4 linked regions of the Lepisosteus oculatus genome follow. The protein of the gene in region 4 binds, or shares a complex with, the protein of the main gene of each other region. Links are inferred from orthologs where the notes say so. Each region holds a gene or a part of one and is shown on either strand. Other genes may lie near its edges. The genes, in order: tubgcp2, mzt1, tubgcp3 and tubgcp5.

Region 1 (7,132 bases), on a different chromosome or scaffold from region 4:
CCATTCTGTTCATCCACTCCACTTGCTGTAATGCTGTAATAGTAAACGTTGAGCAATGCGGCGTGGATAAAATTAAAACTCGGTCTCATTTTTCTGATGTGCAGAGAATTGCACATCGCAGCTTAGAAAGACTTACCAATAGGCACTGCTGAGTCAGTCCCACTGGAGCCGGTGATAAAATCCCCAAGAAGAGCAGGCCTGTCGTACACCCAGTTGGGAAACACTGGAATTGGCTGCAGGGGACTCTTCTTATTGTGTCTGTCCCTCAGCATCTTCCTCGTCACCTCGGAGGGCTACAGGAAGTCAGGACACACAAGGGTGGAGTCCCGCCTTTCTAAACGTATTTACTTTGCTCCAGTAAACTTAAAGCAATCAACATAGAAAAATGCAAAAGGAAATCCTAACGCTAAAGCTTGTGCCGTGCAAAGTTAGAGCATGGGACACAACATTATTCTACAAAGGTTATTCCCGACTGTACAAAAGGTCTCTAACCATACTCCTGGGAAGCTTAAATGGCTTCTGCTACTAATTCGAGGCAACATTTCAGCCAACTTTTGGTTTAATAAGCCCATGTGAACACTTTCTTTCAATCACAGACTGGGGCTCTCTGTTGCCAGGGCTCTTCAATACACACAGCAGTGTAATGTCTCTGACTTCTTAATCACAGGAAGACAGAAGAGACTGAGGAGCCTAAAGAGGATATGGGCTTACCTGCTGTACACTGGAGCTGGCTGCCACATTCCCAAGTTTCTTCCTTAGCTCCTCCAGCTCTTGCATGGACATCTTTGTGCTGGTGGCAGGGATGCTGAAGTTTGTGCTGCTGGAGGAGGCACTGGCTGACTGCTCAGATCTTTCCTTGGCATTCTGCTGTAGACACTGCAGGGTCTAAAAAACAATGAAATACCCGCATTTACTGTAAGACTGCTACAGCCACGTCCCTCACATCAAAGTGTTTTTATTATCTGCAGGTACTTCCATCACCTCCTTATCTTCAGTCAGCTTGGACAGCAGGTAGACCAGAGGATCCACGTTTCGCACATTCCTGGATTTGAGCTCATCGTATTTCTTCAGGAAGTCTTCTGGTGTCTTAGAAAATTCCGCTATTTTTACCTGCAATGAAACATTTTCTCAGTCAACCGATAATTGGCTGGTTAAATATTTCTTTTAGAAAAAACAAGACTGATGCAAAACAATGGTACTTTGAAGAGATAGCCAACATGGATTTAGAAAGGGAAGATAACTTACTGGAACTTGCTGAACAAGCAGTAAAGACAAAAGTTAACACAAAAGTAAAGTAAAGTTTCTATTTATCTTTAGGCCAGTTTCTCTTTCCTATATCAGCTAATTTAGATTCTGCTATATTTCAGAAACTAATTAGATTTCCAGAAAACGCAAACATAGGAGAGGCGCCCCACACAGAACTTCAGCTACTGAACTACAAAGACACACGGATGAAATCAAGGACAAGGAATCACGTGATTGCACATGAAGTTTATGTCAACAGTGCAATCTGATCCACAGAGGAACACACACTACACATACAGTATCATAATACTATGGGTGACTGTGACCTGCAAGAACATATGGATATGGAAGAGACAGATGTGTTTATGTAGCATTCTCTTTATTGGCTGTGGGGAAGCAATGAAAAAGCACATACAGTACAATGCTTGCTACAGCAAATATTGTTCAGCTTTAATTAAGAGACAAGGACCAAAAGGGAATATGTTTAGGATTAAAACATCCTTTAAATGAAGAATGGTGGTTTCTGGAGCAGGCTTCCTAGCTAAGTGGTTGAGGATCAAACTTTGTTCTCCTTCAAGAAATGACTGGATGAAATGTTAGATTCAGCTGATAAACTACAAGCACAAAGCTTGACAATGAGAAAACGAGTAAGAAAAACACCTTGATTTGCACCTGGTCTCCCTTTCATTGGAAGGAACGTGGGTTAGAAAACATAAAAAGCCTTTGCATGTCAAGAGAACGGTGCCAGTCTTAAATCCAGAACTTTAAACGTCGGTAGGACAGAGTGAAGAAACCGAAACATGTGACAGCAGTCTGCTCCACAGTGGCCGATATTACCCCCGATCCCCACCTTGGCGCTGTGCGCGGACACTGTTGTGGTGACGTAGGGAGTTCTGTTCTTCTGCAGCAGGTCGATGTACACCTCGGCTCCATCTCCTCCGCGGACATGCAGCAAGCTGAGCAGCTCGTTCACGTCGTGGTGAATCCGGAACTCGCTCATGGCTACTCTCTAGAAGGGGAGAGGGAGACTTCCGAATAACCATGCTTTACAATAATAAGGAAATAAAAATGTATAAAAGGTCTGGTGGCTTTTTAATAGATGGAAAAGGTGTATAAAGGGATTTTTTGACAGTAGTTTTGATGCAGACTAGACGTGGTTGTCACTTTGAAATGTACCAGGAGCATAAATTACGGGAAGAAGACACTACTTTGAGGAGAATCATACAAAGTTACAAGAGCTGAACGGGTACGGATACAGCAGTACTGTACAAACATCCTGCTTGCGAATTATTTCTCCAACAGTGGGCAAATACACAGATGATGCATGTACACTAGTAACAGATTTTGTCAGTAACCTACCTTTAGGACACTCTAGATCGTTAAAAGAAATGTGTACTTATTTGTTGTCTCGGTCCAACGATGTTTATACTGTATTCGACCACAAACTAGACCGCTAGCATCTAGAGTGAGTTACACACAAACAGCAAAGATGCTGAGAACACCAGCACATCGGATACACAAATAAACCAGTAATTAATAATTCGTCTTTATCTTCGGTTAATGACCAGCATACTATAATACAAATACAAGTAATAAATGTGTCAGCCAAATGGACTTACCGCCCCTTAGCAGCGCGAAACACAAACACTGCACTTCGCTCCGCCCTGTAAAAGCTTCCGCCACTGCAGGGAAACAGTATCTCACCAAAGAGGTTCCTCCCCGACACCCTCCAGTCCACAGCCTCAAGACTGTAAGGAGCAAACCGTAAGAACATTTGACTTTCACAGTCAATGGCTGATCCTCTTTTCATGTAAAAATGGTTTTGGATACACATGAAATGTGTATTTCTGCATGTGTTCCCAACGTAATCATTTAATGTTTGTTTTTGTTTGGCAATAACTGAAACTGCTGAAGCGTTTTACACTCTTCCAAGGTTGCTGTAAAAGTGCAATTGCCTTCCAGATGTCGCAAATAAATTGAGATTTCAGTCAAAATTAGTCCTTTGGAGCAAACGCAATAAAATTGCTCAAATGTTTTTTCGGTTACATAGGAAGTGTCCGTCTCCATCGCCTCTAACCCCAGGAGCAGCAGGACCACGGAGACACCCTGAGCTGGGCCGCGCCTGCGTCATGAAGTGTAGCCGAGGAAGCGCAACAAATGACGTAACAGCAGCGTGCTTGCGATATTGTAACTGACATGTTGCCGCTCGAATTAATCCGGTTTTTAACAGCAGCAGGCACCAGCAGCACCGACATTCAGGCGATACCAGTCCTGCCAGTCCAGCGGATAGCAGAAGAGCCCAGTGCGGTACAGCAAGTCAGTGGCGATGGTGAAAACGTCTGCAGCTCGCCTTTTGATTTCACTCCGCAACGAATACGGTTAAACAAGGACCACGAATTATTTGAAGTACGTTTTTTTTTCGAATTGAGTAAGAACTGTGAATTAAGCGACTTAATGAGACTTGGTGCTGCTCAGTTCCCATGACTGCTTGCTGTATGTGTGTGTAGGGTGGGCTGTGCTCCAGGGTTTCTACGCCTCGGCAATCTCTGCAGTCTCTGCAGCTGCTCCAGTGCTGCTGTAGCTCCGACTGCTTCCCACCGAAAGCCTTTGCATAACTCATGCTTTCGCTACCTATTTCCGTGTCACTATATGTAATGTGCTCTGGAGACAAAACATGCAAAATATGGCGGTGTAGTTTTTTTATTATACTTTTTTCATCTTTAGAATCAACATTTTATTCTTTTAATTCATAATAAACAAAACAATCGGAAGGAAATAAAATCGGTCTACCAAGAAAGCAATAGGAATTTTCCATGCAAAAACTGAGACCAGCCTTCTCATTATTTTTGTATTCCGGTCTCCGTGAGTCTTTGTGATGATGCCGTTGTAATAGAAGTTATTCAGTATACAGACCGGAATGCTCCCACAGGTGTGCGGAGCCTGAAAGGTGCTCCAGTCCTGCTGGCCCAGGAGATCTGATGAATGTTGTGGGAGTGCAGTTCATTAGCAGGGAGACGCGCTGCAGAAAGACGGAGATTGAATTCCAGTGTGGAATGAGTCACGCGTGTCGACTCTTCTTGAGTGGGACCTGTGTCCGTAACCTTGCTGATGTTTTTATATTCGACTGGACGATATTTTTAATTTACCACAACTCAAGAGTTTCAGAATTAGTTAAAGAAGCATCTTGAAGTGTTTTAAGAATCCGTTGGATTCTTGAAGCCTAAAATGATATAGGACATACTGTAAGGGGACGTGATTGCTATCATTTTCGACAGGCATGGTGTCTTTCCTTATATGGCTTAGTGGTTGGCACCGTTAAGCCTTAAAGGATGAAAATACGTGATGCATCTTCCAAAGGGTGTTTGCCTTCTCATCTGTATAAAACCTGAAAATCAATAACAGAAATTGTTAGTTCCACGAAGAGATTGAGAACTCATCTGAAAGGCATGCAGCAGACACTTTGATGCTCTTGGGCAGCAGTGGGCATTCCTGCCCCTTTCTTTAAATATCCAGCTGCTTACAGCTCAGACAATGGTCGGTGTGTTTTCTGACACATGCAGGCGCGACCGTGCAGGAATGGGGTTAAACAGTGGTGCTCTGTGGGACTGATTAAAGCTGTGGTCCTCGTGACCTCGCACCTGCTGGGTGTGTCCAGCGGCCCGGACCTCCAGGCGCTCCGCCGAGCCCTTAATTCAATTAACTACTTGATTATTTCAAAGGGTTGGGTGTGTGAAGCTGTTACACAGCTAGAGGTTTTATGACAACTGAAGCAGCTGAAAATGCTAAAGGCAGATCATTGAATTAAGCAAATTATTGGGTTCAGTTAGGGATCAATGAAGCAGCTCTCAGTCCAGCTGGAAGGAAATCTGGAGACAGGAGCCCAGGAGGGGGAGGTGATTCTCGTTACTGAGTGTCAGATCTAGGGCTTGTGGCAATTCAGAGGAAATGGTTCCCGAGTGAAGGGTATTTTGCATTCATAGAGAAATTCCAGAGGTTATTTTTTTTATATTTGTACATCCTAATGCAGCCCATTGCCCAGTTAGCTCCTGTGCCTTGAAAAGACAGGTGTGTGTGGAAATTGGTGTATGCATGTATTTCTGTCCATAACCGCATCAGTGATGCATTGTGTCTCTGGAAATTACTCCACAAATATCATTCTTTGAGATTTCAGTATATGTGCAATACCTGTGCTGTATGTTTCCTAAAAGGTCTTCATTTTTAGTTCTATCTTTTTGAACACTCTGTATTGGTGATAGGAAAGATTGTTGGGGAGAGTTTATTCTGTGCAGAACATTGACTATACCAACATGACATTTCTTTCTAAAACTAACCAGAATGGCTGTGCTTCTCTTAACAGGATGGGGATATACAGAGACATCTGTACCTGCAAGATGCTGCCACTAGTGTAGCGGAGGCAACTGATAGGCCAAAGTAAGTATCGACAGTCATCGCTTCCCATGCATGTGGCTTTCTGAAGGAGCATGGCTAGTCTGCTTGTCTGACCTCCGATTTGCAAACAGCCATCCTGGCTCCCTGGACGGTACATTAGTTCCTTTGCTAGAACTGCACAATTACCTCTTGCTAGGATGTATGGTGTTCACTACATTTCGAAAGAGGGATTAGTGTTGGCTATGTACAGTGTAATAGCCATTGTTACAGTTAATATAATAGTGAACAACCTTGTTTCAGTTACAAGGTCAGTGCTAATGCAGCTGTGTGTAAGACTGGCAAATAGTTAAACAGCCATAAGAACACACTCTAGGAAATGCAACCTGTTCCCTCTAAAACCAAGCAGTTCCCTTGAAGATTCGGGGTGGTTTTTGTTCTGTAAAGCCTTCTCTCCGAAAGGAATGGCGATCATGACAACACTAGGTGTTGCACTTTTCGAACCTCTCATTGGAAACATGCCCGGCAAGTGATTTCATATGGGGAAAACTCGTCTCGAAGGGCTTTGAAACTTTGGACGGAGAGACCTGAAACACGTGGGTACAAACCGGAGTGTACGCTACGGCACAGGGCCGAAGCGCCCCAGCTGTGACCGGAGCCAGTCCGCTCGCGTTCCTTTGAAGTTCAAAAGCCTGGGTGCCCCCGCACCCACACAGACACCCCCACCGTCTCCCCTCCAGGGTTTCAGAGTTCCAGTGCCACATCGCTGGCTGCAGGGAGCTGTTCGACACGCTGGAGGGCTACGAGCATCACTACAACGCGCTGCACCGGAACGTCTGCGGCCACTGCAGGCGCTCCTTTCCCTCGGGCCGCCTCCTGGACATCCACATCCCGGAGTGGCACGACGCGCTGTTCCAGGTCCTGGCGGAGAGGCAGAACATGGTTCGTCCCCCGCGATCTTGGCAATGGGCGGGAGGGGGAGCCGATATGCTAAGATATAATCTTTTCCGAAGAAAACGCTTGTTCCGCGACAGATGGGATAACATATCGGTACTCTAAATAGCGCTAGCGTTGCACAATCCCTCAACGGACTCCAATGGACCTAGTGTAGTGTAGGAACAAGTAAAAGTTTATTCCACGCTGGAAAAAGAAGAAAAGAAACGCAACGTTTCGGCTGTGGAGCTTTCTTCGGGTGTCACCCGTGTTTCTTTTCTTCTGTTTACAGCACGGAATAAACTTTTAGTTGTTCCTTTGCAGCCTACGCATGCCGACGCGGCTACCTACTTTATTTTGTGTAGACATACATCAAGTTCATTCTAAAGATATTTTTAAATGACGATATGACTTCAACTTGTAAGGAGCTGTAATTCCAAAAGATGGGTCAGGTGAAAATAATGATGATGCACAGGGTTATCGTCTTTTCCGTATTGCTGATGTTGAAATGCTGCCATCTAGCGGTGGCGGCAAGCTGTTCGTGCTGCTGATGTAGGGGGGGCGGAAC
Region 2 (7,813 bases), about 11 Mb from region 4:
TAAAGAATGTAGAACTTTGTTCTACAAAACTGTAACCCTTTTATATGTGAACAAAGAATTCTTTATGAAGACATATCTTCCCCAGCTCTGTGGTTCCATCTTGTCGAAAACGTTTGTTCAAACAAGAGCATCTTGGTCTTTCTTAGCTTGTGCTGTTTTCAGAAGTCTGTGGAAAGAATGTAAAAAATAGAAAACATTAAACATTAGTAAAGCCACAACAAAAACTTCTGAGGTCCATCTTATCACATTATACACACAGGTCTGGAAACTTTTTATTTAAAATAATTTTGGAAAATGGCGTTTTACACAAGTATCTCTACAGAAAACTTTGGATTTGTTTTGCATGTTATGACAATAAAAAAAGAATTGAAAGCATTTTCTTGGTATTTGGAAAGCCCAATACACAAAAACAAACATCTGTTATTGTGCGTTCATGTATTTATGACTCTAATTACAGTCAAGTTTTCTTCTGAACTGCCACTTCACATCACCATGTTAAAATTAAACAGTATTTAAATCTGATTTAAAATAGGCTACAGTCATTGAATTGAATTAAATCAGTGAGTTGAGTTAAATATTTAAATCACCCAACCTTGACCTCTAGCACAAAAGCTGTTTACCTCAAGAATTAATTTGTCTCAAACAAAATACATTACCATAAATTTGTGTTCTTTATAATTGATTACAGGAATAGAACAAATATCATAAGGTCTAAAATAATTAATGGTAAGAAGGTCTAAGGGATTTTGTGTTTTAACTTGCTATGATAGCAGTAAGTAAAGCTGCAGAGCAGTGGAAGTGTACAAATACGGTCTATCCACATCAGAAGAGAACTATGCTATGGCTGATAGTTAATACAGATGAGGCCAAGTACCAGTGAATCCCAGGGTTCACTGGGCTGCTCCAATACTGTCAAGTTACTTTATTCTCAACATGAAAACTTTTTGAAGTTAGAATCTGAACTCAGTTCCAAGGGGGTGATCAAATCACTCTGCTAACACAGGAGTTATTCAGGAACATCAGAACTCCTCAAATATGCCTTGAGACAAAGCATATTTACATAGTACTAGAGACTGAAATTCCTTTACTAATTTAACTTACTAATCTATAACTGTTGGAAGTCTCGAGTCTTAACTTCAGCATACAGTCACTTTCAGCCACAGAAAAAAACTAAATAATTAAGCTCCTGATTACAGTAACAGAAGGTAAAGACAACAGAAAAGGTGTACATCTTAAAAGAAGTTACATCTACTTTCAGATAATATTTCTGCAATGTGCAGAAAGCTTATCTTGTTCAAGTATTCCAACTGTGACCGATACCATTTTCATAAGAAGGATTCCATATCCTGAAGCAAAAAAAAACCCAACAAACCATGTTCTTTGAACCTAGAAAGAAAAATATTGGCTTGTACCTTTAGTGCATCAGAAGCTTTACGGAGCTCTTTTATAACTGAAGAGAGTGCCTCAGGATTGATTCCTTGTTCACATAGGCGAACACAGATAGAAAGAGATTCCATGTCCAAGCCTGTATTAAGAAGCCTTGATATCTCTAGAAGAACTAAGAATAAACTTGTGTTAGTTAGGCTGTGCAACATTATTTCCATCAGCAAGTTCTGCTATGCTATTGTACTTATTGCTCCTTTGATTCTTTAGGTTTGTGTGTTTAAAACAAAAAGAAAGATTACAATGTCCATTTTTAAATCCATGCTGAAAAAAGAAGAAAAGAAATACAGAGTTTCTGTTGTGGAGCCTTCTCGGGTATGAAGAACACCTGAAGAAGGCTCCACAGCTGAAACTTTGTATTTCTTTTCAGCTGGGATAAGCCTTTACTTGTTCCTTTGCAGCCTACACAAGCTGACGCTCAACAAAAATCACTAAATAAGACTCCAATGGACTCACTTTTTCTTGTTGAACAGGATATAACAAACACATAATACAAAACAAGTATTTTGTTCAGTTTGAGGCCAGGTTAGGTTTCATCTAGTAATGTATCTATTAGTTTCTCGAAAAAAGAAAAAAGGCATGAACAACATGGACAAACACAACTTTAAGTATCTTACCACTGAGCTACTGCACTTTAATTTATACAGTATAGCTTTAATCAAGGCTTCTGCTCTCAAGCTTTAAATTGTGATCTTTCAGCTCTTAATTCCAATCTTCATTTGTGCTTGACTGTCAGGTAGGTGATCTGATCTTTGCTTATTGTCCTTATTAACTGTGGGAATGGACTACACGCTACTAGGCTACCTTTCTTCCTGTGTGGTATCCACACCACTATCTTCAATATGACTATTCATGTGCCTTGCATTGCACTTCCAACTTGCACTAGTCGTATTCTTCATTTCAATTTAACTTACTTTATGTAAATGATTTTACCTAATACTTTTCCCATATAGTGTACAAATCCCTCTGAGTACACCTACACAATAAGTTATACTGCACATAAAACCAGGATTTAGTCAAACTTTGTATATAACAGAAATAAAATTATTTAAGCGTTACTAACCTATACATTCCGTTCAAGTTCCCAATGGGATTACTTTTTTAAAATACAGGACATTAAAATCGAATAACAACAACGACAAAACGTCAATAGCCCAAGAGGAGCAGTCGGCCGCAGCGGGAACACTGGCGCGGATTTTATTATTAATATCAACGACGTGTTCAATCGGATAAACAACGGTAACACCGAATCAGTTTCATAAACAAAAATGAACGTCCGATCACGTTCCACGAAAATCACAATAAAACGCAGTGTTTCTCACCGTCCATCGTTTCCCGCACAGCGTTCAGATTAGCAGCGCTTGCCATGTTTACAGTGCTCTGGCTCATTTTAAATTGCGACCCGGTAAACATGAACTTGAGTTCATGTAGGAAAAAAATCAAACACAATTAAATCCTTGTAATTTTCTGTTCTATACAATCTATATTAGTTGTTCTTATAAAACAATTTCGTTCAGAAATTTGTATTAATACCATTAGTGTCACTTTTGTATGTAATAAAGTTAGGTCATTTTGAAGGGAAGTTGCGTATGAAGGGTGGGGCTTTCATTCAAATTCTTAGAGAAGTCTTATTTTGAGTGGCCATCTGTGCTTCCGGGTGTCGTTTATTGGTGGAGAGACAGCACCTGAGGTTACAATTGGTGGGGAGAGACAGAAGAAGGAAAATTAAAGTGAACGATTTACCGAGAACTGTGTGAAAAATAAGAATTGCATTTCAGGCATAGATACGTAAGTTATATATATTTTATTGTATTTTGATATCAAGTTTATTTAAATGATTGGGAAAGTTTATGATAAATCTCAGACTTTCTGAAAACTAATGTTGCTAACCAACTATGGCTCGCTGCTTGTAGGTTAAATTTTACTTTCCTAGTACAGTTGTTTCTTTCGTCTTAAGTCGATTGTGTCTGCAGTTTCTTAAAGATGTAGGATTGTTATATCCATCGCCTAAACAGCACTAGGCGTTGATTAATTAACTTTGTACTTGACATGTTATGTAATGTTTAGTTTTAGTAACTTTTATTGCTGATCTCGGCAATTTTGGAGTGGAGTTTAATGGAATGAAAATGAACCGTCTTAGTTTATCTCAGTTTCGATAGTACACAGGGAATATTGTTAGTCATTCATAGTTAAGTTAGCTAATAAAACAACACTGTGACACCCTCACCAAAGGAGTATTAAGAACTGTTTTAAAATATTGTAACAGATCACTTTCAGTCAGTTTCATGTTGTATTATTCTATTCTATTGAATTCAGGATTGCACTTTGATTTGCTATATCCAAGTCTATTGCTTTGTCGTTGGATATTATGTTGAAATGATAGTTAAATTTGTGTCCTCTTGTTAGATGTTAATTTGTGTTTGGTCACTGTCTCCTTGAATAAAGATACAGTACCAGCTGAATAATGTTCATTCTCTCTAGCCCTTTGGTAGTTTAGTAGTAAATGTATCCAAGGATCATATCCAACCGTTTCTTAAAGGAAACCATTGTATCGTCTTGTTGTCTTGTGTTTCACTGTTTATTCTAAAGACGTCTGCTGGGGTGTCTTTGTTAATGCCTGTAAGGATTGTGAATACTTCGGTCACTGTGGTCTTTTCCACTAGAAAGAATAATTTCCTTCCGACTGTCCGTGTAGGACGTTTTTTTAAACCATTGAACGTATCTGCCTGCTGCTATTGTTTGGATTGATTTTTATAGTGGCAATATCCCGTGCTAGCCAAAACCGTACACAATATTATACAGCAAATAAAGTTTTACTAGTACAGTAGTAACAATTTGCATTCTACGTTTTTAAGAAACCAACATTTTCCCTTTTTAAATAGTTTTTTTTCTCGAGGAGCCTCTTTAAGTTCAACGTTTCTCATGGTGATTTTTTTGTGCTGCATGTAGTGTTTGTCCTTTGTCATTAAATATAGGTCTTGAATTTTAAGGGGTCCCTTGGCATTAATAATAATAATAATTGCTTACACTTATATAGCGCTTTTCTGGACACTCCACTCAAAGCGCTTTACAGGTAATGGGGATCCCCTCCACCACCACCAGTGTGCAGCCCCACCTGGATGATGCGTTGGCAGCCATAGTGCGCCAGAACTCTCCCCACATCAGCTATCAGTGGGGAGGAGAGCAGAGTAATGAAGCCAATTCATAGATGGGGATTATTAGGAGGCCATGATTGGTAAGGGCCAATGGGAAATTTGGCCAGGACACCAGGGTTACACCCCTACTCTTTTCGAGAAACGTCCTGGGATTTTTAATGACCACAGAGAGTCAGGACCTCGGTTTTACATCTCATCCGAAGGATGGCGCCTGTTTACAGTATAGTGCCCCCATCACTATACTGGGGCATTAGGACCCACATGGACCCTGCTGGCCCCACTAACACCTCTTCCAGCAGCAACCTTAGTTTTTCCCAGGAGGTCTCTTACCCAGGTACTGACCAGGCTCACACCTGCTTAGCTTCAGTGGGTTGCCAGTTGTGAGTTGCAGGGTGATATGGCTGCTGGCATAGATCTCCAGGGGATAAGTATACCCTACCAACTATACTTAAGGAAACAGGAGATGTCATTCATAGGTTATTGATACAACTGCTTTAAACCCTGTTGATCCCTACTCTTTCTGTTAACTAGTTCTCCACTCATACATACATTATCTAGAATACATTCTGCTTGTGATTTGCTAATGAATTTTAATGAGGACCTTTATCAAATTCCGTCTGAAAATGTAAATATCCCAAATTGCATACTCTGTCTATTACTGCTGTAATGTTAGGATCCTATTTCCAGATAGTTTTCATAACTTTAAATGTAATAGAAGTCAGGTCTATTGGTCTGTAATTATTTGGTTCTGTTTTGTCACTCATATGGATAGGCACTAAATTGTGCAAATCTCCCATCAATTGGTCAGTCACTAAGACTACCCGTGTCTTGAGTGACTGTTGGAGCAGTTGTATCAATAACCTATGAATGACATCTCCTGTTTCCTTAAGTATAGTTGGTAGGGTATAATTATCCCCTGGAGATCTATTAATCTTGAGTGCTTCTAGTACTTCAAACTTGATGTTAATCCTTTTTAAGAATGATCCTTTGTCCTTCTGCTGCCCCAGGTATGTTGTTGACTTTTCCCCCCATGGTGAACACCTGAGAGAAACACTCATTTAGTACATTGGCCATTTCTTTTCTTTGCTTAGAAATTACCCCTTATTGTTGTGGATACAATTTTTTCCATTCTTAACGTATTTTGCTGTTGTAGTATGGAAAGAAACTTTGATTATTCTAGCCTCTATTGCACTATTCCTTTCTATCTCTTGACCTTTCTAGTTTCATTTCTAACCTCCGCTTGCAATTCTTTGCAGCCTACACATGCTGATGCAGCCACCTACTTCAACATCTGTATACTAAGTTTTATCTTCTGACTTATTCACTCTTGAGTGAAATCTATTCTGTGCTTCAAGCAGAGTTGGTTTTGAAGTGGTGTAGACCAACGTTCCCTATTCAATATTTATTCTATCCCATTTTCTTTCATTGCTATAAATTAACTTCTGATATTGACTCAGTCTGGATAATCTCAAAGTCTATTTCAAAATCATACCATGTTATGATCACAGGTCCTAAATTGTCCTTCCTCTTTGTCTTGGTTTTATGTCTGAAAAGCCAAGGGAAATGAAAGCATTTCCTCTTGTAGGTGTGTAGATATATTGAGTATGAAAAGAGCTGTTAACTACATGCACCATTTTGGTTTGTGCTGCTGAGAATCCTACACGTCAGTTGTTGTTGGTTATTTGGCTGTGGAGGAATGCTGCAGTCTGCTCCCCCAGGGCTATCTGATGCCTTTGTTCACCTGCTTGGTTGTTGAGACTTCTTTGTAACTTTCATCAGTCATTTCTGAGTGTCCAAAATTCTCCACTTCAAGGGTCTGCTTCCAACAACATCAGCACACAGTACCTTATGCAATCTCTTCTAAACTTGCTTGCCTTTATTTCAGTTTGTAGAGCTCTTAGTAGTTGATGATGAACAGGCATGGGTGGGAATGCCCCTGTACTATCCTCTCCCACCTCAGTGCTTTTTTGCTTTGTTTGTTCCATTGGGTACATTTCAGTCAACACCCATGAGGCCAGTTCTGAAACTGGAATTGACACGACATTGATGCCAATTGCATGAAGAACTTGGTCAGAGCAAAAATCAGAAGGGACAGTGTTCCTCCCAGACCGGCACTGGAAATCTACGCTATATGGCTGGTGGGCAATGTTGAAGTCCACTTCTTTTGCACATATATTCATCATTTTATTATACAGCGTTTAATTTTAATTAACATCTTCAATTGCTGCTCTGTAGCATACTCCTAACAGTACTTTATAACCCTAGAATGTTTTTTACAAGTATGACCAAGTAGCCTCAACTCTATATAGCCTAGATTCTGAGACTCTATAGCTCCTGATCCTGAAGGCACTTTTTGATATATAGAACTGCAGGTCTGTCTCTTCTCTTTCCTGTCTCACTGGAACAATGTGTGTCTAGATAGATACTTGATAGCCACAGGCGCAAATCCTTAGCCACAGAGCCACCGCACTGCCTGTGCATCGGTTTAATTAATCCCGTAAGGGAAATTGCAAAATCTATTGTTACATTCATCTCAGTTGTTCTTGTTAGCTATGTTTCTCTGTTTCCAGTTATATCATAATTGCCTGCTAATATGGTACTGTAGTTTCCATCTAATTTTTTCTTAATCATTTATTTAGGTATAGGAATGTAATTACCTTGTCATTTGTTTCATTTTCCTTTTGGTTTTACTTTTACTTTGCCCCTTATCTTTTATTTTATTTGACTTCTTTCCTTCAGTTTTAATTTTTCCAAATCTCTTTTGAGTCCTTGTGACTGGTGCCAGTCTCATTCCAGTGGAAGCTGTTATGTCTGTGCAGATCTTTGCCACAGAGAGGCAAGAAGTGGTTAAGAAGCTGAGGCTGCCTTCTACACACTGTCCTTATCTGTTAACACAGCACATGGATTAGCATTTGAGCTCTGTGTGCAAGGTACCTGGCAAGGTACCTCTAGGTCCTTGTTGAGTAATATGGTGATGAGTTGAATGTCATAACATATTCTTTCTTCTCTGCAGTGTTGGCTTGATAGTTGCTTGTCAAGCATTTCAGACTTGAACTGCAGAGACTATCCGGAAGTACTGTTAAAACTGTAATTGGGAGGTGCTGCTTTTCACAAAAGGTTGTGGGGGTTTGGAATCAACTACTAGCCTTGTTGTTGAAGCTGATCAATTAGGTACTAGCCACCATACAGGCTAGATAGGGTCATATGGCCTCCTT
Region 3 (7,880 bases), about 4.0 Mb from region 4:
TACATATTTTAGTAATGGATTTTGCATTCTGCTGAAATAGCATTTTTGCAAAAGATCCAATTTCATATACTACATTTTGCAGATGTGACCAAAACACATCTGCAAATCTGCTTGGCACTATAATACCAAGCAACTGCTTCATATAAAACTAAACAGTCATTCAGTTCAATTCCAAAATAAAGTTAAGAGTTGTGCAGCAGCAAAGAATTTCAATATCTTGTACAAACCTACAGAGTCCATACAGTGGTTTTACCTTTTCAAATCTGTAAATATTTAACATTTTTCAAGCACTTGCATGATTAACCTAATGCCTCAAATGCCTTGCTACAAAAGCAATACCACCAATACTGGAATAGAAGAGAGTATTCAAACTGAAAGGTAATGTAGCCTTATCTGTTCTGCGTTTCATGTATTATCGTTTTGTTTTCAATACGTTTCTCAAAAAACAAACCTGTGACTGAAGTTTCCTGTGAAGCTCAGAAAAAAGTGCTGCATCTGCTTCTCTTCTTTGCTTCACAACTGCAGAAATAAAGTGCCTGTTAAATCATGATAAACACCACAATCACATTAAATATTAAAATGACACTATGTGACATGAATATGGCGTAATCTCCCAAATGTAATTGTTTTTTCTTCCCAGAGATAAACATTTGCCATTAAGAAAACAATAAAAACCTTTCAGCCCAGAGAAGTGTTGTTTAATTAAGATATAGATGATCACAATATAAACTGAGGTTTTATGGAACCGTATAAATGGAAATCTTAAGGGATACTGTTTCTGACACATACAGAAATCAAGTTTTCAGAACTTATAACTAGATGCACGAACTAAAAAAACTAAAAAATTACATACAGCATACTATTAAGGGCTTAATATTAATACTGCAATATTAATTAACACTTCTGAAAAAACATGCAACATCAAAAGGTTTTATTTTAAACAAACTCACGTTCCTTCTTGATCTTTTCACCTACAAGAAACTCATCCCGTTCAATTGTAGGAGCATAATTACTTCCAATGACTCGCACAGCATACTGGAACTGGTGGGCGACATCGGCTGAAAAAAGCAGAAGATAATTTTAATGACAATAACTACAATCCAACAGATCCCGAGATTACAGGCCACCACAGCAAACTGAGATATCACACAGGTGGATAATGTCACAGAGATTTTCAGGCCTTAAAGAAAAGAAAATTCTTAAGCTCTTAAACTCAGCTTTCAACCTCAACATCCTGCCATAAGAAGGAACCAAATTGTGTGTGCTTTGTGACAACAAGACTGTGACTCCCAGCAAATCTGAATCATGAACAAGTGGGTCTCTGCTGTGATGCCATCATGTAAGTATAAAGACACTAAAAATGGAGAATGTCACTGAGCCCTACAGACAAAGGGGACCAGAGAAGAATGAGAACAACAAGCAACCAAATGTCTCAGATTTAGGCCAATGTAAATCACAATGCACCATATTCCTCTTTCACCACATGAATAAAGACCTTGGTGTTACAGCTGAAGAACTTCCTTAACAACAGTCTGCCAAGAATACAAAGAATCAAAAAGCAGCAAAGGCCTTCATGAGGAATAATACCTTCTTTGGCAGCCAGTGAGACTGTTCTAAATGCAGTCTATTCATTCTTCCCTAAAACACCTGAAGTTACAATGTATTAAAAAGTACATGAATAAAGGGTCCTGCAATTTCAGTTAGAAACGACTCTTCACAGTTACAGCTTCAGGCACATTCTGGATTTTGGTATACAAGAATCAGTTGCTTTTTAAGACTAGAGATAAATACAAAAAAATCATTCCTGTGTTATTTAAACGTGAACTGTCTTCACCCCCATCTGTTCACCTTCAGTTGCAGGGAGTCCAGATAAACCACTAAGATTCCCCACTGAGAGGCTGGGTAGGGAATGAGAACGCTTGAAGCCATGAACTTCCCCCCTTGACCTCGGCCAATTTCCAGATCACAAACTCCCTAAAAGCTCACAAACAGTAGGATTTACCAACCTATTAAGGTCCGTGCTCATACTTTTAGTTTTGCATCTGACAAAAATTCTGGGATCATATTGTGCCAATTAAGATGCAGCTCATAATATCCGATATCGGTTATAAAGCGCTATTAAAGGCAGTATATAAGATAAATAGCACACTGGCACAGGAGATTACAAAACTATACGCTTGTGAACTGGAGTCTTTCAAATAAAAGCACTTCTTCATCACATTACAATAGCAGCTCAAGGACAAAGGACTTTTTTTGCTTCTTTGCCAAAGAAATATATCCCTACTTTCTTCCATCTTTATCGACCTACCAATCATGTCATAATTTCATCAGGGCCAATTCTCCAGCCAGTACATTCACTACAAATAGAAATGGTAAATGAGTCTTCCCCCAACTAGCAAGATAAAAAAACTCGCCTGCTGCCGGCCATCGTGAATTAAAACCGCGTAATTATTATAGTTGTTTTTATCAAATAAAATGTGTCTAACGATACCAGACATCTGCTCAAGAGATGAACACTGGCCTGTTCTGCAGATTTCAACAGTCAGAGAAAGAGGGGACTGTTAGCGAGGAAAGGCGCTTTATTCACTACTCCGTCAAAAAAAACTCCTGCTTCCAACGTGGAAAGACGATCATTTAGGCGTCGCCTTATTGATTTGTTTTCTGCCAATATGCTTACTGTAAAAACATCTACTGACTCATTCTCTGTGCTCATGCAGTATGATGTTGAACTATGATGGAACAAGCACGTTACTTAAAATATTCCCCTTGCCGCTGTTACCTTCGCTCTTCCCAGTTATCCTGCAACAGAGACTTTGTAGCAAGACGTTGGGCGATTTTTGATCCAAGCCTGCCATATCAGGGATCTGTCTGACACGGCTCCGGGTCGCTGTCCAAATCTACCTGCAGCCGTTATTTTTGCCGTGGCTTTCCGCTCTTAGCAACGGCGCCATTTTCGCTAAACCCGCCGACAGCGCTCTTCACTGTGTTATCTATGGAGGTGTCCCATAATCCTCCGAAAGGCAAGGGAGAATCGAACAAAAATACTGCCCTCCGAAGAACGAGAAACGCAAGAGTGGTTCCTAGCATGACATCAGTTCCTACCTTTTCTGTTTTAGGCGTGCGTTGGGGTTTATCACTTAAGAAAACGAAGATAATTCAATTTTCACGACTGCACTTGCCTTGCACGATCGTTCTTTTCTTCGACACGTCAAATATCGTTTGGGGGAGTTTCGAAAGGTGAAGATTGTAGATGAAAAGCGTTTATATGGTCTTTAAGAACATTTTGTTCACAAACGTGTCGCACCTGATGAAAACTGGTTATATTCCTAATCTGGCAAAAAGGTCTGAAATACAATAGATCCCATAAACTGCATTTATCTTCTTTATTTCCACTAGTGTTTTTGCTGTTTGCAATTAAAATAGTAATATCATCAAATTTAATATATAATCTGCATATTATCAATATTCTGAATTAGAATTGACGTGTTAACGACCTGTTCTTGTATATTACTCATTGTACTTGTGTGATAAATATAAATCAATATTATTTTGATTATTTGATTTCAATATTAGTTGTATGTATTAATAAGGAACAGAACGTAGAATCCAAAATATAAACATACAAAGTACATTGAAAGTGTTATTTATGCATTCAGTTGTTAATATTTTATTACGAATGACTAGTGTTTGTGGAATATTTGTAATAAAAGATGAAAAAACAGCAATGTAACAAAATTCAATGATTTCCATTTTTTTAAAAGAAAATCGTATGCTAGCTGTCAGGCAAGTAAGCAATCAAGTCAAAATTTATTACAAAAAACGAATTAATCCCAATAACAACGATATAATACTTTTGTTCTCTTGCTAGCTTCGGTTGCTTTCCACAGGGCGCAGAATAAATGAAAACTCTTGAAGACGTTTTAAGAGTTACTCCAGCATGTAAAGGATAAATAGGGAATATAAAGTAGTCTTTAAAAAAAATAACGTTATCTCTGCTGACAATTGTTTCCTTTGCTGCGTTAATTTTAACAGGAGACAAGGTCCATTAATAACTAATAATAATCAGGAAAAAGGTATTGATGTATTGATGATTACACTGTTCAGCAAGTGGTCCTCCATTAAGGATATGTTATAAGTTTGATCCATGGACGAGCTTCAGCCTGATTAAGTATTTATTTTTACACTCTTACGTTTGATTCGGCTGCCTCATTGTCACATGGTGTTAGATACACATCTCAGTTTAGAATGCCAAAGACGTATGTCCATGCCCTTGTTTGCGTTTAGCAACAAAGTGTGGAAGATGAGTTGGTAACCGATATGGTTTGGATGCGGCTCTTGAGTTATTTCTAAGTGGTTAACAATCGCTGAATTTGATTACATATCCTATACATACCCCACCCCCCAAGCCATATTCAAACCCTTCTGTTGTCTTACATGAGCAAGAACACTATGCAGACTTTACTGATACAACCTGGTGCTGTCGATTAGTATAATTTTACATCTTTCTTGGATTTATTGCATTTTCGTGCACCTCTTCAAAAACCTCAGATGGTGTCAGCTTTGGTATTAACAAAACCCTGGATTTTGCTTTCTTTGTGATTATTTTGGTTTCGGGGCAGATCTTTTCCAGACAAGAATGCACTAACTTCAAGTTGTAGGATATTTTGTTTGTGTCCAGGACATGCACTTGGTACTGTACGTGTATGAATGAATCATTGCACAGCTGATTGATGAGTATTCTCTTCTGAACACTTAACAATAAATTGTTCAACATAATGGTAACAACTACAGCATATTTATTAAAAACAGGGGTACTTGTTTTGAAGTGCTTTTTTGTGCAGCTGAAATATATTTGAGTCACTTTATACTATTACAATTACAGGAATGCAATACTGAAAACGCTCAAAACATGAATGGATCACCACAAATATATTTAATTTAATAAACTGTGCATTTTTGCATAATACTTTACTAAGTGTCCCATTCACTCTGCTTTAGGTCTCATACAAAATTCAAAGTTGCTGCAACTTTATAAAACTTTATAAAAGTCTCTATAAAACAGACTTTGGCGGATTGGAATTAATCGCTACTACTACTACTGCTCCTACATGTTCATTTATCATGTTTACTGGGAGTAGAATGTATGTATTAAAACTTTGAATATGTTTTTTTTTCATCTAGCACTGACCACACTTTATGGACATAACGCTTGATTCTTGGAAGCTGTATGAAGCCAAAAGATGAAAAGACGTGTTTACTGTGATATCTTTGCGTCTAGTCCGCTTTTACCTAAAACCTCGCTGAAATTCAATAACCACTGAATGATATCACTGTGCTGTAAGAAAAAAAAATCTATGTGAAAATCTTTATACTACCGGCAACTAACTAAGCACCCACCGGCCGATGGAGCTACGCGTGAGCTTTTTTCAATCAATGCTGGTGCACACCGCTTTGCTCCGACACGAGTGGGTGTGACAACGGAGTGCGCAAGCGCCCACGCCCCCCGTGACGTCCGCTGAAAGAAAAGCTCACCAGAGCTGGAGCGAGGCAGGATTATAGGTACGGCGAAGGTGAGAAAGAAGGGAAGAAATAAAACAGAAGGAGGAGGAGGAGGAAAAAAAAGAGAAGGGAAGGCAGATCGTCAAGGAGGGAAAGCGGGACCACGGGACTAACAGAAAAGAGAGACATCGTCAAGGGGGAACAAAAAACCAAGCAAAAAATAAACTGCGGTTTGAATTCTTGTCGCAGTACAAAGACATTATGTGCAAATGAAGGAGCCCCGAAAACTACGAACACGCTTCTTGCTGCTGCTGACTAACGTGCTCGGGATCCGTAGGTGAGAAGGAGCAGAACTGCGGTCGTCGGACGCTGCTGTCAGTCCACACTTACCTACTGTAGAGTCAGGTGTCCGGCAGTCGCGGCATGGATCTTAGGAGAGGAAGGAAAATTAGCTAGCGGTTTCGGCGTTTGACGGCAAGGGGAGTGAATATCCAAAAGAACAATTGGAAGCTGTCGGGAGGAATGGATTGCAGCGTTCTCCGGAGCCTCATAAATAGATACGTAAGTAAAAGCGCACCGACGTGTTGCTGCCGTGACATCAAGTCGCTCGTTTTATTGTAACTTGTTGGTTCGGCTCGCGTGTTAACTCGCCGTCCCCGCGGGGGGATGCAGACGTATCTCGTTCAGGTTTACGGGAAATGGTGAAGATGCCACTCTGACCCGTTCACGGAGCAGGAGGGGAAGGCAGGGGGCATTTTCAGTGCAGCATGGCGTTGGTGGAGTAGGTGTGCGTGCGTTGAGGTGTGCTGCCACTTGTTATAGCGGAATGGAGAAGTCTGCCGGGATTTAATCCGGCGCCCCCCCCGGATAAATCGGGCAGCAGCGGTAATATTTGTCACTTTGTCAAAATTAGAGTAGCACAGGAAACCCGAATGCTGAGGGATATACGATATGAACCACCTGCTTTGCAGAATGATTTTGTGTGAAGCTTAGCTACCTGAGAAACCCCAGGCAGACCGGATCACTTAACTCAGATAGTTGTCACTTTTCAGCTTTCCGGCTGCTAATTTAAAGGGCAGATCGATAACACTGTGTCTATGTGTACATCCTACCTGGGGTGTCACGTACCCTCCCCTACGCCTTTATCAAGACTTAGTTTTGGACACCCTGTCAAGAATTTAACCCGCTTACAGTGCGGGTTGTGAGTTACCTGCTGCGATATGGCTGTACCTCACCAGTGACGATAAACACGTTGGCTGACGAAGAAAACGTAGTTATTAATTTCTTCGCTGCACATGCAATTATATGTATACGCAATAAGAGACTGAGCCACGAACCGTTGCTGAATTATACGGCCTGCATTGGCTTCTTTAATAAGCTAATTATACAAGGGAACGAGTTGTGATATGATAAATAATATGTTGGAAAACCAAAACAAACCAAAATAAGGAACCTGTCGTTTTATTCAAATAAATCTTGCCAAGAAAATGCACAGTACTGTTCGCCTTTATTTCTATCAAAATGTCAAAGCACTGGAAGGCACGGATACCGGTGGGGATTTGAAGTCCGCAATTCTTCCGCTGTGCGCAATGCCACATTCCTCAAGTTTTAGACAACTTTAAACTTTAACTTTGTGATGTAGTTTCTGGTGCGGTCCTCGTGGCAAAATCAAAGCAAGACTTATTTCACCTGCGAGAGTTTGCAAGAACATTATTCCTTTAACTTCAGATCAGACGTTTAATTATCTTATCAAGTTGGCAAGTTGCGTCAAAAGAGATCCCACAATACTGACTGTTTCTGAAAACTATGTATCGTACTAACAGTAATATAATATAATTGAAAGGGAAAATAAATGTGACTTTCTAGAAGACATGTACATGCTGGATTATAGCAAAGACATCTTAATTAAAAACGGAATTATGATTTATGCAATTTTGATATGCAGAACAAACCGTTAAATCCTGTAAACCAAGCACCCACTAACAACAAGCTTATGACAATGCTATAATTGATATAAATGCTTTTATAATGTTTAAAAAAATAATATAATCCTCCAGCATTACATAATTCATCCTCTTTATTCTTTGATCGATATGAAAAGAGTGTCCTTGACCGTTTTAAAGCATTATAGACGTTTTGCTTTTAAGCCATTTATGCTGCTGCTACATAGGCGAAAACTGGAAATGAGGTTTTAAGGTCAAAATTAAAATGGCCAAATGATTGGATCAGTGTAGGTGTTATTTATATCTTAATCCGTTGCAGTGTAGAAAGCGGCTGCGTTAAGTTTCTAATTTGTGTTTCTTTTGAAACCTGTTACTGTGCTCCGTTTAGGAATATTGTAAACAAAAGAATAAAAAAGTAGTTCCCCCTAGATTTTGTAA
Region 4 (7,976 bases):
CCAGAAATATTTAGCATTTCTTTTTGCTGTAATAAAATCATTGGATTGTGTTCCTACTCAGTTCAAACAGATTATTATTTTGGATGAGTAGTTGAGAGATTTTTTATTCTTTAAATTGTGATTTACAATTCTTAATTCTTGCAAATAACTTCTGAATTTATAACTTACAATTAAGCCGATACTATTAAATGAATATTAGATCAAATTACAGTTAAAGACAGGGCAGCTATCACTGGTAACACAATAGCAACGTCTGGATGTTCTAACACAATGTATTCATTGTGTATTTATTGGCGAAACGACATATTAATACTGTACCTTTGTTCACATTTTCGTTCGCCTCTATGTTTTGTCCACGTTTGTTTTCTGATACCCCAGCTTACGCATGACCTCGCCGCAATATTTCTCGACTTGAGCGACCTGTTCAACGCTTAACCTCTCTCTCCAAGCGTAAATGGCTTCCTTGGCATCCCTTGACGAAATAAGAAAGGGCCTGTCCGAAGAGTAACCCTCGCCATGGGTCATGTTTATCACGAACTTTTCAATGGCTGGCGAAGAGGTCAGATTGGAGAAACTGTACAGCCTCTTCAGTTCCCGCACTGGGTGTAACACAAGGTCCTCGTAGCGCAGGTGAAGGTAGTTCCTTCTTACCCATTGGGGTGCGTTCATGATGTGCAATATGTCGTTGAGCCAGTTATCGCATATCACCTCCATAGCGGTAGATACATAATTCTCCACTCGCGTGGACCTGTTGGGTATGAGAAGGCGCCTGTATTTTTCCGTCTGTTTCCTGCTTCTCAGCACTTGAATGCTTTCTTTCACCAGTGCCTGTTTAGATTTCAATCTGGAATTGTGGACCGCCCGGGGGTCTCTGAACAGCTGAATCACCTGGAGGTTCAGCCCGGGGTCCCTAATCAAAGGAACCAGGACACCAAGATCCAGGACCCGCACGTCTTTTATGACAACAACGGGATACTTCTTGCACTCTCTCTCTAATTCCCTGATGTCTTTAGGTTGGCACTTGCCGCAGACCTCTCCGTTTATCAGCCCAACGTCGTCTCTCCTGTGAGCACTGCACAGAGGCTCGGAGCAGATCACCTTGTTCGTCTTCCATCCGAAGATAAATGAGGTAGTGAGGTTTTTGTTGCCCGTGTAGAGTTTTAAAACGGAGAAATCGCAGCGGTAGAGGGAGTTCATCATGTCCCTCACCGCTCCTTGGAGACTCCCTGCATCACCCGGGTACAGGGTCTGCCACATATTCCACATGGGTTCATACAAATAAAACACATCAGGATGCTGGTTAAATAACTCCCCTAAAAAAGATGAGCCTGTTCTCCAAGTTGCATGAAGATAAATGTGTGTTTTCGTTTGGCTCCTATTGATAAAATTTTCCACCGTCTCAGATTCGTTGCTGGATTTATCTCCAATATTCCATAACTCCATTGTGGTTTCCAAATCGGGGCATTTTGATAGTGGCAGTTCATTCCGGACCTGAGCTCTTCTATTTCTGTATTCCAACACATAAGGAATGAACAGGAGCAATACGGAGTACACTATAATTAATATGAGATATTTCTTCTGTAGCCTCCTCTTCATTTCCTCAGCGACCGAAGCGCTTAGCGCACTCCTACTGATTTAGCACCCCTACATGAAGCCTGACTCCGGCTTTAGACAAACTTTGAGTTAGAAAAAAAACCGGTATTGTCAATCGCCTCTGAACACGCCCACTGCATTTCAAAATAAGAGCCGATAGTCACGTGTGTCCCCTTTTCGCAAACTATCCATTTTCATTAGAATGGAACTGTATTTTTCCACAAATGTACAAAACGACATAAAAAGAAACTGTCACGGGGAAAATAGCATGTTTTCAGCTACGGGCAGACTTTTGAAATACATGCAATTAAGAAATGTCCGTTTTGAGTTACTTGCCAATAAAAGTCGATGTATTACTAAATCGAGTTAAAACTAAAAAAAATGTTAAAACTATGGAAATCGCTTGAATGAATAAAGTTTGCAGCTGTGTACTTTTCCCTCAAAATTGTTATTGTAATTTACTGCCATCAAGCATTTTGTGACAAATGAAAAGGTTGTGTTTCTGTGTAAGCTACAGAGCTGCACTTATAAAGACATCTATTTCTGAGTGTTGGGTACAATATGCAGGAAACTACGCAAGATTTATAGACTTATTTCTCTTCTTTGTGCAGCATGGCGCTGTAATAAGGTTAACCTGGCATTTTCTTACAGCTGCATCGAAGTGTTTGGGAGCATGGACAACCATCGACAGGACTGTTCACTGAACTTCCAACCTCGGCCAAGTTTCAGTGGTGTAAGCGAAACTTAAATTCCAAAATCCATTTCACATTTGACCAAAGCCCCGTTTAAACAATAGAGTAAGACGTAAACAGCTTAAAACACTGTAAAATCTATTTAGTGTGCAGCCATGCCAATTTATGTGACAAAACCTTGATAAAGCACACAGCTGTCAGAAAAACTGCTCCGAATTCATTCAGATATATCACTTACTCTGGCACAACATTTTAATTACCCTACTGGAGATGTAGCAGATGCACTGTTCTTGGAGAAAAATGCTGTCTTCCTCTGCAAATATACATTTGGACACCCCAACAGATTAGCACCTTGTCAACTAACAAACATTTTTCCACATATTTAATCCAATTAAATGAGAGATTTGTAGGCTCGTGTATTTTCTTTAAGTATTCTAAACTAGCTGTATATATGGTACAATATTCCCCCTTGACCTTGTGTGCTTACAAAAACGTTTGATCTTTTAATACAGAATTACCAGAGTTACATTAAACGGGACTTTAAAAAAAAACAATTTTTAGTTTTAATAAGAAACATGTATCTGAAGCACTGAACTCAAAATGTTCTTGTTGAATGCGCATATTGTACATATCTTCAAATTCGCATTGTCTTCATCTTGTTGCCTTTGTACTATAGTAAATTAGCAATAGCAATAAACAGTGAAGTTACTGATGCTGTTTGTTCTACTTTCTAAACATGACCTTTTCTCACAGAATATTACATGTACTGTAGATAAAGAGCACAAGGGGTAGATATGGAAGCTCAATTTTCTAACTGGCTAAGGTATGCCTAAAACCAGAATTTCAACCCACATATCATTGGAAATAGATAAATATGTCCTGTTTTCGTAGTTTCCTGTTCTACCAGGGTATCTACACAAAGGAATGCCACCATCACATGCTTCATTTGGAGATGATTTTGGAGTTTCAATTCACTTTCATATGAAGGAATTTTATTTTTCTATGCTGAAGTCTTGAAGGTGCCATATAATGTGTTTGCAAAACAATAGTTACTTAGTTTTTTTAAACGCTTAAAATGTATAATGACAAAATACAGAAGTAAACAACAAGAGATTGTAGGCATTGCTATAAAAATCAGAAAATAGTCATATACTGTCGATATCACGTGTAATCACATTATATATTTTATCTCAAAAATGCAACGTGCTTCGTGTTATATCTCCGATTTGGAAACATCATCTTTTATAAGATAAGATAACTTTATTGGCCATATACAATTTCTTGTATTAGGAATTTGTCTTTTCACATACCCCAGCTTGCGCTCCGTGAGACACACAGACAGAGAGAGAAGCTTGAGGTCAGAGCACAGGGTCATCCATTTATATGGCGCCCCTGGAGCAGTTGGGGTGAAAGGCCTTGCTCACGAGCCCAACGGAGTAGGATTTCTCTACCGGCCGCGGGATACGAACCGGCAACCTTCCAGCCACAGGCACAGATCCTTGCAGATGGCCCAGATTAAACCCAGACGTCACTTCAGAGTGTCATTTGTATGGAAATAGGATTTTAGGGAGTAGTCTGTGTAGCTTTTCAATAGACAGGCCTTACTTGACTAATGTGTTAGGTTTATGTGTAAAAACAACAGGAACATACAGAGCATATGAGACAGTATATTTACATTTTCAGGAAGCCTTTACTCACAAAATTGCTTTTGGTAGGCATTCAGGGTAATGTGTATGATTAGAGTGAAAATTGTTTAATGAATAGAAAACTAAGAATAAAGATAAGAGCTGAATACTCCAACTGAGGAATGTAATTAGCCTGTGGTGATCTATTTAAGGATCTGTCGTCTTTCTAATTTATATCAACAACCTAGATTCTGGTGAAGTTCTAGTTATTTAGCTAGTCAGGTTTGCAAAACCAAATTAGAACAAGCCGCAAACCCTGTAAAAGTAAAGAAAAGTCTGGACTGGGCTCACACTAGGAAGATGATATCTAATATAGACAAGTGCAGAGAGATACATGCAATGAAAAGAACCATAAACTGTACATGTGAGATGGGGAGCAACCTGCAGAAGCTGTGAAAAAGCCTTAGGTGTCTCTGCTAACACATGCTTTATGTTTTCTAGACAAGGAAATGATAAAAAAAAACAAAGAGACGTTTAGATTACTTAGTTAAAAGTGTAAGATTTAAATTGAGGGATGTTATATTAAAATTGGAAAATGCACTGAATGTAAGATCATAATTTAGAAGACTGTATAAAGTTTTGGTAACTCTGTTACAAAAGAGATATTTATGTTTTGGAACCAGCTCTGAAAAGAGCCACCAGATTCCTTTTTCAGGCTTAAAGAAATGGCCGTGGCTGACAGGCTAAAGGATCTGCGTCTTGTCATTCCAGAGAAGACTAGAATTCTATTTTCTGGAAGTCTTAAAAATGATCATGAAGCAGAATACAAATACAAAATGAAGAAAAAAAAACACTTTAAAATTTGGAAATAACAGAAAAGGGCGTAAAATACACAATATGGCTAAAGAATATACATAACATGTCCTTATTTGGTAAGAATCAAAATTACACTTAAGATTTTGCTTTATGTTTCTCAGGTCTCTGCTTGTAAAGAAGTCGACGTCTACACGTGCTGTTTCTAGTCTTCGCTTTTCCAGGGAAAGTAACTGCTCGGCCAACAGAAACACAGAGGAGGGAGGTTCGGTTGGTAGGAGCCGCTGTACACAGCAGTGATGGCGGAGTCAAAACAATTCTGTATTCAACAGAGAAGTAGCCTTTGTATGATACATAATTAAAAATAAACAGTTAAATAAGAACAAATCGTTTATAGCCGATATCGGGATATTTAACTGTTGCATGCTTTTAAGCGAAGGATGCTGTACATCTAAGCTACGCAAAGCAAAAACAAGCGATTTCTGATAGTGTGATTGAACACAGTTCGTACTCGTATTTATTGTAAGCAATAATTTCGAGTTGGATGTATCGTCTCATGTAGTTTATGGTTTTAAGCTGTATTGGTTGTGCTCAACTCAAAGCCTATCCCTTCTGCATACTTTGACCACACATACGAGAGAGTCCGGATGATCGTGCCTAACGTTTACAGTAGAGTAGTATATATAGTCTGTATAGTATAGTCTATAACTATAGAAACTGGCACCGGAGGTCCCTTACTTAGCATCACAATGGCTCACTGGACGAAATTTGAAAAAGATTTGGAAATCGATACGAAGAGGCTAATAAAGCTCATCAGTGGGATACAGGATGAAGAAGACCAGAATTTCCAGATGGCATTAAAGTTTGCCTGGACCAATTTCAGGTGAGGGTTTCATGAGTGATCCCAAGGCTCGGGCCTGAATTCACATGGCAGAGGAATGTATTTGCTGCAGTCTTCATTCTCAAAGGCTGGCTTTGTCACTGACAGTACGTTTGTGAGAGGGACTAAAAGATCCGTCTTCACATTGAGTTGTAGTTCTTTTGCCATATATGAACCAAGACACTGACAAAAGCATTGTTATGTGTTTAAATTTGCAGGTTCCATCGATACTTAGATGTCAACAGTCACAAGGTGCAGCGTACAATCAGTGGGTAAGTTCAGTCGATCAAGCAGATTAAATATTCTTCTTTCTGAGGAGATTCTGAAGATCAAGACAAAGCGCCTACAAGAATGTGACACTTTTTTCCTTTTTGTTTCAGAATCCATGAAAAGCTAATAATTCACTCAGATCTGAGCAAAGCTACAAGCTGGAAACGACTGACTGAAGAATTTCTGAATGCACATCTTCCAAACACAGAAGGAACAAAAGTGATAGATTGTTATACATCTTGTGAACTAAACAGCTTGTTTCTAAGATTTAAGATTTAAGATGTGATAAGATTTATTGTCCATTGAGGGAATTTGTTTGTGGACATCAACAACAACAAAATTGAGCATCACTCTATTGCACATTTATAACACATAATAACATATAACATATATAACATTACAAAACATGTTGCACACAAGTGGATTGTAACGATAAAACAATGTTTATCCTTGCCATTTGCATTGACAGCTTTAATGGAAAGTGGAACAAAGGAATGTTTGTATCTGTTTGACTTACATTTGAGAACCCTAAAACGTTGTTGAAATGCGCTAAACTAAAAACAAGAAAATTAAAAAAGCATTTTTTCTCTTTTTTTTTTGCAGACAGAAACCCATCACAGTATCCTAGCTCTCCTACTCTATCTTTCTGATTCTCCTTCCAACACAGATTACACTGAGAGGCCACGGCTGAAGGATGCTGGTAAGTTAATGGACATTAACATAGCCACAATGAGTAACTGGTGTTCACACAACACAAACTTTGTGTTTTGTGGCCTTTTTATTATCTCTGTATTTTCCGTAATAATATATCTTAATACCCAGTATACTACTGGAATAAAGATGAAGCATCAGCACACAATTAACTCTATAAAACATGATAGGTGTTATTCATCTGGCAGAATGTTGCAATAATTGAGTCGTCAGTTTAATTCTGTGCCAAATGTTAATCTAACACCTGTGAATATGGTGCTTTCTATGATAGTCTTAGTTGCTGTATCTTAGATTTGGCATTTTGACTATCCTAATACACACCTTTGAGAGACAAATTCCCATGAGCCATTACAATGAAGAAGTGTGCACAAATAATACAGTACATTTATCATCTGCATGTCACTAATTGATTTCCCCAAAGCATGCTGTCTCATTCTGACTCAGCATATTACCTAGACTTTTTGGAGTTGTTTGTTTGTCTGGGGGAACTATGAGCACTAACAATAACAGAGGCTCTTCTGAGATGCACAGCAAAGTAAACAACGGTAACATTTACATAATAAGAACACCTCCTGTAAGATTCATTGTTCTGACAATGAAGGTTTTGTTTTAAACAGCAGTACCAAAAGCGCAACTAATTCCAAAAATCTTTGAATAATTTGGAGCTCCTGATTCCAATATTCAGGATTTAAATGTTTGTTTGAAATGCATGCCAGTTTTGAATTTTTAAAAACTTTGGATGGAGATAGTACCCATCTCCAGGCAGCAGTGTGGAGTAGTGATTATGGTTATGGACTCCTTACTGCAATGTTTTGGGTTGAAAGGTCAGCTGCTTTTGTGCGCTTGAGCATGGAATTTCAGATCACTTCAGTGAAATCCCCAGCCGTACAAATGTAAGTTACTTTGGACATAGCGTGTGTTAAAAAATACGTTAATCTCTGGGATACATTTCATGAACTCTCCTGTGGCTTCATATTACCATTTACAGAGTGAGCATTCTCCTGAAGAAATAAAATCTTCTGAATCTTTAATCTGCACTCCCAGTTGTTTGAAATAAACCTTAAGATCTGTCAAATGTCAGAGCTGCTATTTCATTTTCACATTTTCTGTTTCATATTGCTTTCTGATTTTTGATAAAACATTCGAATTTATTTTATTTTTTCAAGAAAAAGAAGACAATTTTGACTGGGGTAAATATTTGATGGAAGGAGAAGATATTGACATGGGCCCTTTTCCAGACACTCCTGTAAGTGAAAGGATACTAGTTTTCTTAAATCCTTACTGCCTTATTCAATAGCTGGCTTGCACTATTCATTACTGAAAATACTTTCTTGCAGAACTTATAGGAATGTTTCTCAAACCGATCAAGCTTCAGCTAATGTCAAAAGTATT

What was found.
Region 1: tubgcp5 (region 4) and tubgcp2 share a complex: the UniProt entries of both Homo sapiens proteins name them as parts of the gamma-tubulin ring complex. The link is inferred for Lepisosteus oculatus from reciprocal best matches to the Homo sapiens genes TUBGCP5 and TUBGCP2.
Region 2: the proteins of tubgcp5 (region 4) and mzt1 are in contact, whole or in part, in a crystal structure (PDB 6L81), measured with the Homo sapiens proteins. The link is inferred for Lepisosteus oculatus from reciprocal best matches to the Homo sapiens genes TUBGCP5 and MZT1. Residues at the interface, in NP_443135.3 of Homo sapiens: Gln14, Gln15, Asp18, Val19, Glu21, Leu22, Val23, Val26, Ala27, Gly28, Asn36, Ala40, Phe43, Ala44, Asn47, Phe48, Arg52, Phe53, Leu54, Phe72, Lys80, Ser83, Trp84, Leu87, Thr88, Glu90, Phe91, Ala106, Ser109, Ile110; in NP_001065243.1 of Homo sapiens: Glu23, Val27, Leu28, Glu30, Ile31, Ser32, Ile34, Leu35, Asn36, Thr37, Leu39, Leu44, Ile46, Cys47, Val48, Arg49, Leu50, Cys51, Glu52, Gln53, Ile55, Asn56, Pro57, Glu58, Ala59, Leu60, Ser61, Ser62, Val63, Ile64.
Region 3: tubgcp5 (region 4) and tubgcp3 share a complex: the UniProt entries of both Homo sapiens proteins name them as parts of the gamma-tubulin ring complex. The link is inferred for Lepisosteus oculatus from reciprocal best matches to the Homo sapiens genes TUBGCP5 and TUBGCP3.

The regions. Positions count from the first base shown.
Region 1 is NC_090699.1:17,551,326-17,558,457, reverse strand, and holds the start of tubgcp2 (gamma-tubulin complex component 2), read right to left. Parts: upstream 3,015-7,132; 5' UTR 2,865-3,014; intron 2,255-2,864; 5' UTR 2,246-2,254; coding exon 2,096-2,245; intron 1,111-2,095; coding exon 982-1,110; intron 886-981; coding exon 712-885; intron 294-711; coding exon 137-293; intron 1-136. Other genes in the region: znf511 (zinc finger protein 511), read left to right, coding at 3,442-3,651, 5,603-5,676, 6,372-6,573. UniProt on the Homo sapiens protein: Component of the gamma-tubulin ring complex (gTuRC) which mediates microtubule nucleation.
Region 2 is NC_090710.1:33,537,658-33,545,470, forward strand, and holds the start of mzt1 (mitotic-spindle organizing protein 1), read right to left. Parts: upstream 3,017-7,813; 5' UTR 2,857-3,016; coding exon 2,766-2,856; intron 1,559-2,765; coding exon 1,413-1,558; intron 167-1,412; coding exon 143-166; 3' UTR 1-142. UniProt on the Homo sapiens protein: Required for the recruitment and the assembly of the gamma-tubulin ring complex (gTuRC) at the centrosome.
Region 3 is NC_090710.1:26,101,158-26,109,037, reverse strand, and holds the start of tubgcp3 (gamma-tubulin complex component 3), read right to left. Parts: upstream 3,002-7,880; 5' UTR 2,856-3,001; coding exon 2,780-2,855; intron 1,059-2,779; coding exon 951-1,058; intron 520-950; coding exon 452-519; intron 1-451. Other genes in the region: atp11a (phospholipid-transporting ATPase IH), read left to right, coding at 6,022-6,060. UniProt on the Homo sapiens protein: Component of the gamma-tubulin ring complex (gTuRC) which mediates microtubule nucleation.
Region 4 is NC_090710.1:22,064,489-22,072,464, forward strand, and holds the start of tubgcp5 (gamma-tubulin complex component 5), read left to right. Parts: upstream 1-4,968; 5' UTR 4,969-5,472; coding exon 5,473-5,606; intron 5,607-5,821; coding exon 5,822-5,875; intron 5,876-5,983; coding exon 5,984-6,092; intron 6,093-6,476; coding exon 6,477-6,573; intron 6,574-7,750; coding exon 7,751-7,830; intron 7,831-7,976. Other genes in the region: chst7 (carbohydrate sulfotransferase 7), read right to left, coding at 343-1,596. UniProt on the Homo sapiens protein: Component of the gamma-tubulin ring complex (gTuRC) which mediates microtubule nucleation.